2 linked regions of the Lonchura striata genome follow. The protein of the gene in region 1 interacts with the protein of each later gene in a pairwise test. Links are inferred from orthologs where the notes say so. Each region holds a gene or a part of one and is shown on either strand. Other genes may lie near its edges. The genes, in order: WT1 and WTAP.

What was found.
Region 2: the proteins of WT1 (region 1) and WTAP interact in binary tests that used the Homo sapiens proteins (3 or more experiments, as listed by UniProt). The link is inferred for Lonchura striata from reciprocal best matches to the Homo sapiens genes WT1 and WTAP.

The regions. Positions count from the first base shown.
Region 1 is NC_134608.1:60,255,780-60,263,433, forward strand, and holds the start of WT1 (Wilms tumor protein), read left to right. Parts: upstream 1-4,395; coding exon 4,396-4,786; intron 4,787-7,654. UniProt on the Homo sapiens protein: Transcription factor that plays an important role in cellular development and cell survival. Recognizes and binds to the DNA sequence 5'-GCG(T/G)GGGCG-3'. Regulates the expression of numerous target genes, including EPO.
Region 2 is NC_134605.1:57,861,138-57,869,355, forward strand, and holds the start of WTAP (pre-mRNA-splicing regulator WTAP), read right to left. Parts: upstream 3,181-8,218; 5' UTR 3,039-3,180; intron 1-3,038. UniProt on the Homo sapiens protein: Associated component of the WMM complex, a complex that mediates N6-methyladenosine (m6A) methylation of RNAs, a modification that plays a role in the efficiency of mRNA splicing and RNA processing.

The sequences.
Region 1 (7,654 bases):
AATTAGTTCCAGCGTTTCCAAGATTTACGGTACAATAATGGCCCGAGCCCCGCCGGCCGGGCCCGGCCCGCCGCTCGCCGCCGCTGCACGGCGGGGTCGGTGCTGGGGAGGCTGTCCCGGCGGAGCGGGGCAAGAGCCGGGGCCACGGCAGATGTCCGGGACCCCGCGGGGCTGCTCGCTATCCCCGCACCCGCCCGCAGTGCCCCGCTCACGTCTGCTTCGGGGAGGGGTCGCGCATCTTTGCTTCTCCGTGCACCAAAAACAACTTTTCTACCCACAGGGGATAAACCAAACGTCCTCTAGGCAGCACGAAAGCGTTCCCGGGCCCACGTCAGCCCGCACACGGAAGGCTGGTCCCGCCTTGCCGGCGGCTCCCGGCTCCCGTGGTGCTCGCAGCTCTCGGCAGCGAGAAATGAGAGATTGGGCCCGCCGCGATGAATTCCTGCCCCTGTGCCCTCTGCGCTCCTGGAGACGCTTCTCAGCTTTGTTTCTGCTGCTCTTAGCGCTTAAATAATCAAACTCTGATCAGCTCCCTGAGTGAAAGGAGACAGATCCCCTGCGTGCTGTGAGCGGCGTGAGCAGGAGGGGAAGGGCTGGAGATTTATCTCTGGTTCAGTCAGTCTCGCCCACCTCCGAAACGTGGGGGGATCGTTTTAGGAGTTTCGTAAGAATTACCGGTCCATTCCTTAATTGGTTAGCATGGCAGAGGTAAAATTTCGGCTGGGGAGGTGCGGCAGCGGTGCTCAGGTTGAAGCAGCTTCCCGAGCCTGTTGTTCTCGTGTTCGAGTGGGACTCGCTAGAATAATCCTCCTCCAGCTATTGTTTAACCTGGCAGAGTATGCCTTCGAGCACAATCGAAGACTGAGCGTTATCAGGAATTGCCCTAGCTATGGAACAGCGGGCAATGAAGCCTGTCAGAGTTTTGGATCGGGCCGTATTCGGAGGGGACAGGGCAAAATGTTCCGCACCGCCTGGGTCTGGAAACCGACAAAGGAGATGCTGTCCCTGAACATCTCCCTGTCTCCTCGGCCATCGCGTTCAACTGGGCACCCAAACCCACACGCGGGCGCCCGGTGTGCGAGACCTGGAACGATTTATGCCGGAATTTGTCTGGAAGCGGGGTCGGGATCTCTGGGGAAGAGGTGGGCAAAAGTCTCCTGCAAAGAAGGAGCAGCTCCTCTCAGCATTCCTCAGGGGGAGCTGCTGCCAGCGTTCCCGGCCTGTGTTGGAGGTTTCTCTCTTTCCCTGGCGCTGGCTAGACGGAAACAACTAGGCAAAGTGGCACTGGCCGTCTCCCAAAAATCCTCAGCCCATCCCGAGACGGAAGGGTCCGGGCTTTCCTGCCCCAGGACGCCCCCGGACGCGTTCGAGGTGGGCGCGCTCCGTGTCCCGCACGGCTGAGGCGGCCCGGGAGAGCGCAGGTGCAGCACAGGGCTGAGCTGAGCTGAGCTGAGCTGAGCTGAGCTGAGCTGAGCTGAGCTGAGCTGTGCTGTGCTGTGCTGAGCTCAGCTGAGCTGAGCTGTGCTGGCAGCTCCTGACTCTCCCCAGCCTCTCCAGCAACTGCGGGGAGGAAGGATGCGCTAATGGCCAAGGGGTCGTCTTGTTTCACTGCTGGAGGGTGCGAGGGAGAAGGTTTGGACAGACTTCGGCAGTTCTTCCAGGTAGAGTAATGCAGAGTTAAGCGATCAAGTAAACCTTTCTTTCCCTTTTAAGATGATTTATCAAGCTAGGTTATTTCAAGAAAAGACAAAACCCCCGTGCTAGCTCGAAAAACAGCCCACTACGGGAAACGTATTTTCTGCTAGCTCCTAGAGAGCGCTAGTTTTCATGCGAAATCAAATACCCCGCTTAGGCTGGCCAAAGAATTCCATTCCTATATGTACGATGTCCATCGCAGAACTGGAGATCATAAAATCGTTTAGGTTGTGAAAGACCTTTAAGGTACCCAGTTCAACCAACCTCGTGTATCGGTCCGTCACAGAAACGAGCAAAGCCAGCAGCAGCCCCTGTGCCGATCCCGCAGCTCCCCGCGGGTCCCGGGCAGGGGTGACCGCGGTGTGCGGGAGCCCCGGTGCGGCCAGAGCGGGAGGCAGAGCGGGAGGCAGCGCCGGAGCCCGCGGGCAGCAAGGTCAGCGCGATTTCCCCGCACGGGCTGCATTCACAAGTGCCGTCCAGTGTGCTTTAGTTTGCCGTGGGCTCTGAGGTGGCGCGTCCTGTAAACTTAGAGGATATTTAATATCAGCGAAAATAATGAACTAATCTTTCGCACTTACGCTATACGTGGATTTTTGTAATAAATAGATGTATGTGCCAAAAGAGAAATTTTTAAAGGGAATTACCTGAAATAGTTTGCGAAAAAAAAACAATTTCACTAATAACAAAAACCGAACGTTATGGCTAATAAGTTTTAAGAGAAAATGAAATTATACTTGGCTGCTCCAATAAGGACCTATTTTAATTTCTATTGTTGTAGCCTTGACCCTTTGAATCTTAAAACACCTCTTCAACGTTGACGATGCTTGCGGTAACCTTTGATGCCGCGAGGGAAAGGAAATCCCGAGGTGCGCGCTGTCACCGGGCGGACAAGGGGCTCGGCGTGTCCTGCGGCAGGTGAGCCTTCGCGGCGCCTCTGTCGCTGCTGTCGCCGCAAAGGAGGGTGAGGCTGAGGGCTGAGGCCGCGGGGGTGTCGCCGGGCGGCGACCCCGCTTGGCGGTGCCACGGCTCTAACAGCGGCCGGTGACAAGGGACAGGGCGGCGGGGCCGGTGCGACCCCGCGTGCTCCGCGAGTACCCTGAGCCGGCAGCTGCCCCACGGCTGCCCGTGAAAGCGGCACCCCCCACCCCCGGGTGGTTATCCATCCGTAGTTATGCGGGAGGGCGGCAGGATTCCCCTCCCCGCCTTTGGAGAGAGCGCGTCCTGCCCGCGGCAGGTACCGCGGGGCTCTGCCGCCCGCCCCGGCGCTTCCTGCCTGGGCAGTCGCTCTAGGTGGGCTCCCGCACCGCCAGAATCACGGCACCCCTCGGGGCCGGGGCCGACACGAGTCCTGCCGTGTTTCTCGGCAGGAAGGACAGCCCGGGGATAACGAGTCGGGTGCCTTTGGGGGTCCTCCGGCCGCCGCCCCCGGGATGGACGCTGAGGAGCCGCTGTCCAGGAGGCTGGAGAGCAAAGAGGGACTCCGGGCCTTCCCGGGAGCAGTGCCAGGTGAATCTCTCAACAGCAGGTTACTCACAGCGCTGCTGTCCTCCCCCGCCCGCCCAGCTGCTTCCTTCCCCTCGCACACAGGCAGGTCCGAGGCACCGGGCTAGGGCCGGGCTCACGCCGGCCCCGGGGCCGGTGCAAAGGGCTCCCAGCCCTCTCCTGGCCGGCGGAGCCCTCGGTACCCCGGCCCGGCCAGCCCTGGCGACGTGCCGCGGCCCTGCGCCCCCAGGGACAGGGAGGGGTGCGGGGGGGCCGGGCAGGCAGCTCGCACCCCGCAGGAGCTCATGGAAACGCAGGATCCTCCCGTAGCGGGAAAGGCACCTGGAAAGACACTTTCTCCTCTCAGAAATGGGGTCCGCCCGGGCCGGGTCGTGTCACTTCCCCTGGTTCCTGCAAGGGCGGAGGCTTCTCCGCGCGGTCCCCTGGGCCTGCGACCTCGCCGCCCTCGGGAATCCCCACGGACATGCACGGAGCTGGCGGGGGAAGTCAGCCAGCACGTACTTACTGGCCACCTGGATCCCTCTAACAAGTCCCGCAAGTCTCTCCTAAAGCGGAGGAACGTTAGGGTGAGATTTAGTGGCGCTTGCACCAGCAGAAGGGTGGGAGTGATGTGTAGGGGAGATATATTCTCCCACAGTCACCTCTCCCCCTCCATCCCCGGCTCTCCCGTGTCTCCCCTCCCCCCGCGCGTCTGGTCCGGCTGGGTTCAGCAGAGCGGGCTGTGGGCAGCCCCTCGGCGGAGGTTGTGTGAATGGAGGATCGGCGTGGCTGACTCCTCCTCCCCTGCAAGCGCCTCTATTTGAGCTTTGCAAAGTTGAGGGTTGAGCAGGCATCCGAGGTGAGGCGTGCGCGGCGGCTGTGCCCCCCTAGCTCGGACAGGCGGACATCCGTACAGACAGACACACGCGCGGACACACAGGCACGCACACCGCACCCTGCCCTGCGCTGCGAGCGGGTGCAAACCCGGAGGCGATCCTGGAGAACAACCTTGCCCTGTCGCTGCTGCCGGCTCCCGCAGGGCTGGACCCGGGGAGCTGCGTCGCGGAGCAAACTTCCCCCAAAGGGCTGAGCTCGCCGGCCTGGTGCCTGCAGCCGGAGCCGGCCTCCGGCTTGGCGGGCAGGGGCCAGGTGTCTTGGAACAAGTGCGGCCCGGGGGGAGACTGGCTGCCCGGCGGCAGGCAAAAGGTCTGCGAGCAGATGGGCTCCGACGTCCGAGACCTCAACGCGCTGCTGCCCTCCGTGCCCTCCCTGCCGGGCAACAGCAACTGCACCATGCCGGTGAGCAGCGCGGCGCAGTGGGCGCCCGTCCTGGACTTTCCCCCGGGGGCCTCCTACGGCTCGCTGGGGCCGCACTCCTTCATCAAGCAGGAGCCGAGCTGGAACGGATCGGACCCGCACGAGGAGCAGTACCTGAGCGCCTTCACCGTCCACTTCTCCGGCCAGTTCACGGGCACGGCCGGGGCTTGCCGCTACGGGCCCTTCGGCGCCCCGCCGCCCAGCCAGCCGCCCTCGGGCCAGGCTCGGATGTTCCCCAACGGGCCCTACCTGCCCAACTGCTTGGAGAGCCAGCAAGCCATCCGCAACCAGGGTAAGGGCCGCGCTGCCGGGCGCCCCGGGCTCGGGGGACGGCCCCCGGAGGCGCCCGCTCAGCCCGGCAGGGCCGCGCCTGATGTAAACACCGAGGCCGGTCCTTCTCCGCGGCGGCCGGGCCGGGTTAGGCGAGCCAGCCCTGCCGTGCCTCCCTTCCCTCCCTGTGCGGCAGCCGCGTCGCACCCGGGAGCTTTAGGAGCCACGAGTTGCTCGGCCCCCACCCCTCCTGTGGGGCAGCGGATGCAGCGGGCGGCTCTGCCAGGCGGGCTGGAGCCCCCCGGCCCCCTCCCCGGGTTGGAGCAGCCTCTCGCCTTCGCAAAGGTTTGTTCGGGCCGGAGACGACACAAGTCCTGGAATGGAGCTGGAGCCCGTGGCCCGAGACAATTCCCTCTGCATATCTCGGGGGTGATGGGGTGGTGGCGGGGGTGAACCTCCAAACTCCCTCCAGAATCCGAAAAGGGCTGTCCGCACGCTGGTGTTTTCAAGCCCCTTTTCGAACGAACCTCGGGAGGGCTGAGTATTCCCGGGTGGAATGCACAAGCAGGGGCGACTCGGCGTTTCTTGTCTGCATCTCCGCGGCCGGGACCGGCTGCGCCGCAACTCCCTGCGGTCCCCGGTGTTCGCACCGTCCTGAGAGGCTCCCGAGGGTTGAACGGCCGGGCAATGGGTCAGCCGCGTGTGGCGCCGGGTCAGCATCTAAATCCTTTTTCTTCCAGCTCCTGCAGTATAAACATTTGCGGGCGCGAACGGGAGGAAGAAAGGAAAAGGGCCCAGCGTGCGAAGAGATCGCATGAGACATTGCGGGTCTCATTCCCCCTCCTTCAGCTGGCCCCGGAGTGGTGGTGTGCCGGGGTTTGCCCCGCACTGCCCGGCCCCGGGCGAGGCACCGAGGGGAGTCGGGCAGCCGGGGCGCCGCGGCTCGGGGGACGGGGAATCGGCGGAGTGTGCGTGGCCCTGCCGGAGCGGGATGAGTGGCCGGGGTCTCTCTGCTTTTAGGATGGGGTTCCCCGCACCTAGCCCGCAGCTCGGGATTGCTGTGCCCCGCGGGGGCAAACCCACAGAGCGGCTGGGACAGACCGTCCCGGGAAGGGCCCGGGCGATTCGGGCTGCAGGGCGTCGGGCAGAGCAGAGGCCGAGGCCGGCGCCGGCAGACGCGCTCGGTGCTGGCCGCCGAGGTGTGGCCGAGGCCCGGGCGATGCTTGCAGCGAGGGGCAGGGGTTGTTCAGCGCGGACCTCCCCCGGGCAGTGCCGGGTCGTGGTCCCGCTGCTGCCTTCGACCCCCGGCCCCTGCCCCATGGGTTCGCCCGGCGCCGGGCTCCGATGTAGGAAAGAGCAGAGCGGGGCTTCTGGGTCGTGCTGCCGATCCCGGCTGGGAAAATGGGTGGCATCCCTGGAGCTGGGGAGAGGCTCGGCCCTGCCGAGGCCCCGGAGCCGCTGCGTGCCCTGCGGGGTCCCAGCTCCAGCTGCGGGACGGGAGGGGAGCGGCCCGAGCCCGTCAGGACAGGGACTCTGACGGGGACCTTTGAAAGACATGCGAAACGGTTTTAGACATCGGAGGAGATTCCAAATAGCTGGACGGAAATAAGGACAAGAAAGTGGAGAGAAGGACGAGGGAGATAAATTCGAATTAGCGAGGGACAAAATAGCTGCGACTTCGCGCCGTCCTGGCGTCCGGTTTTCCCCACCCCGGGGAGAAACGGAGCCTTTAACGCCCCAACACACGGAGCCCACGCCGGGCTCTCCTCGGGCCCGGCGCTCCGCGGGCCGTGCTCCGCCTGCGGCACCGCAGGCACCGCACAGACCCCGCACACAGCCGCACCTGTGCGGGCCGGGGCCGGCGCACCGAGCCCTCCGCACAGCCCCGGGCATCCCGGCCCGGCAGGAGCCCGGCGACGGCGCCGTGGCGGGAGCAGGGGCCGTGTCCCGGGCCGGGGGGTCCCTTCGGCTCGGGGCTGCCTCCCGCACGTGTAGCCCTGGGGCTCAGCTGTTTTCGGTGGCACGCAGACAGAGGGCTCCTATGGCAAGGGGATACTCGGCAAAGGCGTTTGCTTGCCTTTTTTTTTTTTTTTTTTTTTTTTCTATTTTGTGGATGGATAAAATGTTCTTGCTTTGGCTCTCCTCAAGGTTGAACTCTTTTTTTTTTTTTTTTTTTAGCGGTTCCTCCGACCGTGGGAAAGACGCTACCTTGGCTCTGTGATGACATTTCTGCCAAGTCTGGGATGGGATGGGGTGGGGGGTAGGAAACTAAGGCTTTGAAACCTCTGCCCAATTTTCCTCTTCTTGTTTGCCTGCCTCTTTCATCCAGCTGGGCTCCTCCAACAACTGGATGCCTCCAGCGGGCCCCGTTCTCCAGCAGATGTACAACTTTCAATTATTTTCAGCACATTTTAATCAGGCCTACTTCTGATAACGCCCTAATTAAAGAGACCTCACTATCGGCAGCTCGGTTCAGAACTCAACTTTCTTATCGCATTCCTGAAGCTTTGGGTCAGGCAACACCGGAAAATGCGGCCAAAACCTCGTCCTGCTCCGAGCTGAGTTTTGAAGGTCACCGAAACTCTGTGGCGGGCCAAAAGTAACGTAGAAAGTGTCAGTATTTTCTGAAAGCTAAAAAAGAGACAGACAGAGGGAAACGGGGAAAAGGGAGTAGAAGGTTGAGCCTCTACCCTGAGGGCTGAGGGAGGAGATACGGAGCGAGGAACAGCTGTGGGATGGGAACCCGTTAGGTACCGGCCTGTCAACGCTGCCCGCGTCCCGGCGAAAGGAGCTCTGCTCCTGGGGTCAGGGGGATGTGAGGGACATTTGGCCAGTCCCGCTCCTATGCCAGCCCTGAAGTCTCAGGGCCGACTTAAAATCACAGCGAATG
Region 2 (8,218 bases), on another chromosome or scaffold:
TTACCTTAGTATTTTCACAATGACACTCAATGAACCAATTTAACTTTTCCATATCCTAAAAATGTTGGTCAGTAAGACAAGCAAATACATTCCAATGAAAGAGTGTTTTCAACCCCCACTAACTGACACCACTGACAATTTACACAGCACTCTACCAAACAAGGTCCAGGTTAGCAACAGACAAACCAGCACTCACACTCCCTTCCTATAATAAATACTGACATTAGAGCCCACAGAAAGAAAACATTCAGTAGAAGTATGTCACTAATGAATGGCAGCTTCCTGTTAGGCTTAGTAACACACAGGCAGCTAAGTGCTTCCCTGAACTAAGTCACACCCCCTTCACTCCCCCTCACAAGGAGTATTTTGCTTGAATTTCTGCATGCAGCTCCTTATTTGAAACTGTTTTACCAAAAACATACCTCAAATATAAAATACAAGCATAAGAGGCTGCCGATACAAATTGCCAGTAGCCAATTCAATCAGAGTAACTTGAGATTACAGAGGGAATGCTTGTGACCCCTGTATTTAGGCTGCCTACTTTCCCCACTGTAATTTTTCCAAAGATTTTTAGAGTTTTTAACTCCTCTGAAGGTTGGTAGTATTGAAGATCCCAGCTAGTGTGAAGTTCCTAACAGAGAGAAACATCCTTTTCAGATGTCTCGCACAACTACAGCTAACACTGATTAAATGGTGCACACAGAGTCATTACATGTGTGTTCCCCAAACATGTACCAGAAGCATACAAATACCAAAAAATGTGAATTCCCCCCAGACACCTGGCTTGTAGCTCCTGCTGCAGCATGCAGCAATTATAAACATATGATTGCTGCCACAATCACGACTACAAGAAATCAAAGGTAAATGCTCCATCCAAAGGTAGTCAAACGCTGCTTTTCCAGACCTCACACAAAATTCCAGCACCAGACCAGGCTGCTCTAACCTCTACACCCAGCACATCACCATTTACAAAACCACCTCTTGCTTTCAGATGAGCACAAAAAACTGAAGTTATGGGCCACTGCATTACAGAAGTCACTGCCTTACTGCCACCTATTATTACTTGCTATGATAGAACCACACATGCACCAAAAGTATTTTATTTTATAGATTATTCTGGACAAGTTAAGTTGATAATATTTACAGGTAAACACTTAGTGCTCTTTCCACAAATATTAATTTCACTTTGCTATTGACCTGCAACAGCTTTTTGGGAACCTGGACTAACTTAGCAGAAGCTGAAACATTTATTACTGCAGTATACTGCTATCGTTGTACTCCATGTTCCTCAGAAACAGCAGCAGCTGTCACGGTGATTCGCCTCAGTTTTCTGTTACCAACAGGTGAACCCGTGTGCTACAGGCAACAACCGCAACGGAAACGTTCATTCTTTGAATCTACTACAGTAACTTCTCAAGCACTGTGCGTCAAGAGATGCTTCTTATCACTCGGCTCTCCTCTAGAAGAGATCATCTCTCTACTACCCATATCAGAAATATCTTGCAAGAACAAGATGAAGTATCACTTTCTACAAGAATCAATGTAAACATTCCTGCACAACTGACTGGAATTAACACAATTGTATTTTGTGATTTATATCATGAACAGTTTAACTGTACTATCCTAAGCACTTTCATGATTTTGCAGAAACAGTAGTAGCCACACACCACTCCTGCATATCTGCTCCTGGCAACAAGCAACACAAAATCACATTCCATACTTAGAATAACGTTGTCACAGACACTAAAAGAATTTTTAGAAAAACTCTATGTTTTAGGCTTCTATGGCAGTTTCAATTAAAAGAAATGTAAAATGAGGAAAGTACATTTTAATTTTAGTAACTCTGATACAGGCCTCCATACCTTTCTCTACAGTGTTTATAAAACACAGGACTTAAAAACTTTTTTGAAAACTTCAATGAGCAAAAGTAATTGAATCAGGTATGAGGTTTTACTTGTTATATGCAAACTGAAAGTTATTTTAATGATACCGAGAAAGAGTTCTGTGGGGAAAACCCCAGTATGGGCTCCCAGCTCCCAAAGTACATACGTGTGTGCATATATATACAAACATGTAATTTACAGAATCGTTAGAGCTGGAAGGCACCTCTGGAGATTACAGTCCAACATCCCCGTCCCCACCAAGGCAGGTGACACAGGAACGTGTCCAGGTGGGTTCTGAATGTCGTCAGAGAGGGAGACTCCATGACCTGCCTGGGCAGCTGTCCCGAATGCGTGTGCCTGAGATTGCTCAAAAGTTTCTCAGATCACAACACTGCAGCCTGGAAGGAGGTTAAGGGGGAATGCACCACCACAGTAGCCTGTTCCAGTATTCTGCCGCCCTCAATGCAAAGTTCTTCCTCATGTTGAGGTGAAACTTCTTATGTTTTAGTTTATGGCCACTGACCCTCGTCCTGCCCCTGGGTACCATTGAGAAGAGTCTGGCACCCTTCACTTTAAGACAGCGCCTGCCTTTAGGATATTTGTATGTACTGATGACAGCCCCTCTCAGTCTTCTCTCTCTCCTAGAGTAAACAGGCCCAGCTCACGCAGTGTTTCCTTACAACAGAAACATTCCAGACCCCAAATCATCTTTGTGACCCTCCCTCGGACCACCTCCAGTACCCCCTTGTCTTTCCTGTACTAAGGAGCCTTCTGGCGCTTAGAATGAGAAGCTTCACAGTATCCCCGTAAATGGCCAGCCCTCACACTCGCCTCAGCCACCGCGGGGGTCCCGCCCCCCGGGGCCGCAGCCGCAGGTGTTCGACAGACCCAGCTGCTGCGGCCGCCCCCCGCCCTCGCTCCGCGCCCACGGGGGAAGCGACAAACGCACCCAAGGCAGGGCAGGAGGATCCCGGCCGCGCAGCCAGGCCGGGCTTTGGGGCCTCGTACAAAATGGCTCTAAGTGCTTCCGCTCCTCCCCCCGCCGTGCCCGAAGCGAGGCACGGAGGCGCCTCTGGGGTTCGGCACCCCGGGACTGCGGGCTGCCCGGTCCGTCAGTCCGTCCCGCTGGGGCGGAGCGCCCGCACGGCCACTCACCTCCCGCCTGCGGCGCGGAGGCCCCGCGCCCCTCGCACGCCGCTCGCCTGGGCCGCGCTCCGCCTCACATCGAGCAGGGGAAAAACGCCGCCACCTCCACGCCTGCCGCCACCAGCACCGCGGCCAGGACGGCCGTGCCCCCCCACCCCCGCCCGAGCTCCCCCGCACGCCGCTCCCGCCCGCTCTTTATTTGCGGGTTCTCTGCGCTACAAAATGGCGCCCAGGGAGGAAATGAGCGCCCGCCCCGCCCCGCGCTCGGAGGCTGCGCGCGCACCTGGCGTGGAGGGGCGGCGGCGGAGACGAGGAGACGCTCCGCAGCGGGGCAGGGCCGCGGCGCGGCGCCTCGGCCCGCCCGTGGGGCGGCTGATGCAGGGCACCGCCGCCCGTCCAGCTGGGAAGCGGAGGCTCCCGCGGGTTACTCGAGCGCCGGTTTAAAGCCCGTGGGCGAACGGGCGGCGCAGCGCTCGTATCGCTGGGGCGCCGCGCGGCCTCCTGCCGGCGGGGGGAGCCGCTGCTCGGCGGGAGGGGCAGCGCCGCCCGTCTCCCGCCAAAGCGGCTGAGGGAGCGGGCCCGGCGCCTCCTGGGAAGAGCGCTTGGCGCCTTCCCGGAAGGCTGCTGGAGAAGATGGGATCCCTGGGAGGGAAAACTGCGTGCAGCAGTTCATAGAGTGCAGGATGGGTGCCAGGCTTCTCGGAGCGACTGCCGGCGCTGCCTGCCCGCCGCTCGGCGGCCTCGGTGCGAGTCAGTGTCCTCAGCCACTAATGACAGATACAAGATTTAAATTCCAGCTGCTTCCAAAGTGAAACATCAGTGTCAGTGCTGCGGAATAAAAACCAATGAAGTTTGTTCTTCGTTGCGGTCTACCTCCGAGCTGGTGCTTTAAAATAAAGTTTATCCTTCTTACTCTCTCTGTTTTCACAAGCTGTGCTGTTGGGTAAATACTTTTGCCTTTTTGTTGGCAAAGTCGTAAAGCTGCTGCAGACTAAATCAGTCTGACACCTGACTTGCACAGATTAAATTGATTGTCACTCACTATGTCAGTGCTAGACGTGATCCAGAAATCTCTCCTGATTCTTACTGGTAGCAAAAACAATATAATCACTACAGAATAGAACCCAGTACACGTGGTCCCATACACACATGTACGCATATACATGAATACACAGATTTTTCACTGAGAACTTAAAACGTTTAAAAACCACACTGTAACTGATTTGACATAGCTACCTGAGGTAGGGTGGTAAGGTGACCACAAGGAGAAAGAACCTGAATAAATGCCTTTGGAATCTTACCTCATTTGAAAGTGAAAAGAGACACACTGTGATTAGTGTACAGTTACCTGCTCCTGATTTTCTTCAAGATACTTGTTTTAAGCATTCAAGATACCAATTAACAGATGAAGCCATCCCGGGATATGGCAGCATGAGAGATGCACGTTAGTGTAGGCCTTAATAAGAACATTAATGTAGCAAATTGACTTGATTTTCTCATGTGCAAACATAAACATCACAATACTAAAAATGCATATAAACCAAGCAGAAGAAGAAATCAAAACTTTTTCTACATAAAATAGATGCTGACATACACGCAGGGCAGCTTCTATTCTGTGTATAACATACCTAACACTTTCTGTGTATCAGTGGTGATTTAACTCAAGATCTCCCAGTACTTTGTCTAGAGTTTGGCCACTTTTTATTATGTTCAGAAACCAAACCTCCTTTGTGTCTTCTTAGTGGTACAGATAAAGGTCTAGCTCACATACCCTCTAAGGTATGGGATGGTAAACCTTCCACAATTGTTTGTGTTCATGAGCATGTAGAAAGTATTCCTGCATTTTTTACCCCTTGTCAGCACCTAGTTATTTTAAATTTATCTTTACAAGTGTAGATTACAATTGTGGGAAACATGCTAGCTGAGCAAGAAGCAGGCAGCCAGAGACATGTAGAGATAAGTGGAAGCAGCCTGCAGAGCTTAATATTCTGGGCTGCCTTCCTTCCATACTTTCAAGCTGGTAAGTGTATTATCAGATTACACCTATAATTTTTGTTTAGGGAAATAATGTTAACAATTTGGCAACCATTCCTCTGATACCTTTGGGAAGAGGACATTTAACTGAAATACTCTTTTGATCTGTTTGCACATCACGTTACACAGTGAGAACTAATCTGGGACTTTTTAGTGCTGCTGGATCAAACATGTCGACACCCGCCTTGGGTTGTGTTTACAGTGTGGTAACTGGAGTAAATTAGCTTTTCAAGTAATAGGTGGTATCATAACCCCCAGCAGCAGCATTGTTCTTTGGATGAGAAGGCACATCATGATCTGTCCAAGCATCAACACAAAAACCAAATCCATATATTGATTCACCTATAATGATAAAATGGAACATGAACCAGATTATGAATGAGTGGGCAGCACAGCTCACTGGGTTTTAGGTTCCTTGAATGATGGTGTGTTACTCATTAACTTAATTATCCATTAACTGGATGGCTCCTCCTTGGTTTTACAGGCTCAGTTCTGGGTTTCTATTCCACCCCTTGGTTTCACAAGGAAACCCTGTGGACCAACACAAATACTACAATGTTTCCCAGCTCTGAGGGATGCTATTTGTCTCTGAGGAAGGCAGGCTGTGAGGGAAAACGCTTCCTAGTGTAAAACATTCATTCAAAAAATCAGTCTGCAGGTGAGAAAAGTGAGGATTAGGGGGGAAATGACATAAAGCCTTTTTCAAAAGCAAAAAAGAAATAATGTTTGGACTACCATACATCCTCTTGGCATTTTAAAGGACCTTGAAATATCAAGAACTAAAGAAAGGCCAGTCAGCTCTTGCAAAGGCTGTCCTTGACTTGCAAGGGCAGGAGATGGAGCAAGGCAAACCTGTGGTACATCTGCAGCAGAGAATGAGCACTGGAAAAGGCTGCTGCAGCCTACAGGTGTAGGAGAAAGATAAAATCTATGGATTGCACTGAGAGGAAAGTGTTGCAGAGAGATCCTTCAGGTAACTACTAGGTAAAGATCTAGGCTGCAGAAAGTCCAAATTTGACATCAGAGGACTCTCTTTTAGAGAAGCTCCCTGAATGCTAGGCTGCAGGCTTAATGCTGTCTTTATATCCCCTGCTAACATCCTTTTATGGGTCTCAGTGGAATTTTCCTCTATTTTTCTTACATCTTCATAGCAAGAAGTAAATTAACTTCTTCAGAAAGCTCTTGCAATAATTACATTTTATTTAACAGCAACTATATATATATATATATATATATATATATATATATATATATAGTGAGTCTGTCCTGTCCTGTCCAGAGCCTGTCCTGAAGACATTCCCAGAACGATAATCCATCCAGATACAATTAAAACCAAATGGTGACTCATGTTAAATTCGTTTTTGGGAATGCTTGATAAATACTGCAAGCTTGCTTTTGGAGTACAGGTGTACATATAGTTGCTAAGGATATAAGCCCAGGTGTTTACTATAATTTTTTTTTAAACCATAGAAAGGCCAAGAGAGTTTCAGTAGTGCAAACGTTTTCCTGTCTGAGGGGAAAACAACATTTTTTAATTAATCACCAATTAGATTACAAACATTCCCTTAGAAAAATGGATTCAAGGAAAACAGAGATTGTTCTTAACACAGACAAGGACATTTCATTGTCTTGATTTCCAAGGACCCTGTCAGTCAGGTGGGGGATTGAGAAATTTTAGAAAGAAAATGTAGCTCTTTACCTCACTGGGAAAACAGTGTGTCTGTCAGTTTTTAAAACATGCCTTATGTGCTGAAGCTACTCATAAACAGCTGAATGTTAGTCCACTGCTAAGAAAATCTGGAAAAAGAACTGTCTTTCTACACATGAAGAAAGGTCTTAAAGTACTAAAGGCATCCAGAAAGATGGGAAAGGCATCCCATAGCAGATGGGAATTCAGCAGTACCAATATGTGTATAAGACTTTATAGACTAAAGAATTTGCTGTTACAGGAAAGTTGTGAAACCTATTAAAAAATAGAATTATCTCATCTTGAGATTTATTTATTTAAAGTAATTGGATTTTGTTTGGTTCTTTTTCCTTTAAGAGGTGCAGCTTCGTTTTTATTAAAATCACATACCCAACAAACCTGTTTTTGCAAATATTCATTGACCAAGTGTCAGATTTAAGAAAAAAAAAATCAACAGCTTTGCTTTATGGTAACAATACTGATCTTTTAAAAAGTCAGATTTAGAAAAAAGTTATTTAGCAGGAGAGTAAATCAGTGAACAATGAAATCCTTTAACTTTTCATCTATTTCTAATAAAACTGAGCCACCATTAGAAAATGAAAATGCAAAAATCTTTGCACCTTGAATATTTCATGGAAGGCACTTGTCCATTTGATTGTGTTCATAGCAAAGTAGTAAATAAACTTTGTGCAATAGATGGCAGGTAAGATTTCTGTTCTGAATTCATGACTTCATTTCCCAGAGTTTAGATTTCTGAGAAATGGCAAAATGTACCAGCATAGGGCAGTAGTTTGTTATTGAGTATTGTGCTGCTCATTAACTACATTGAATTTAAAAAGCACAGCTGCCTACTACCATTCAGGAATGTTTTTTTCTGCATTTCAATGACTTAACTTTGATCTGTATCATGCATATTTCATAATTATTTGCCTTTGTGCGATTGCTGCGTCATTTTGCTATGTCACATGCCCCTTTTGTCCATTTGGATCTCAACCCTGGACACCATCCAAGCAGAGTTAAATAGAATACTGCAAGCCTGATAGACATACCAAGATAAAATTATTCTCTGTTGGTTTTGGGTGCTCCAACCTCACAGCCTGGTTTGTCACTAATGTTGAACTGCAAAACTGTTCTGCTGGTTGGGGCTGAGAGCAAAGGTACAGCAGGTCAGCTCACTGGGGTGAGCCTGAAGGCCCTAAGGCTGCTTCATATTTTAACTTTTTCTGTCTGCTAGTGAACTGTGGGGAGGGAAGGGGCTGAAGCCTCACTTTATGTTCAATCCAATATTTGTAAACTTTTAAATTCAAGAGAATCCTGTTCATAAGGCTTACTTCGGGTGTAGTATCAGCTGTGGACTTTGAACACCTGCCGACATTTAATCTGAGCTCATCTCATGTTATTGACTTTGTATTTCCAACAATGGCCTTAAGTTGTAATCAGTCAAATGTTGCATTAAGAATGGCATATT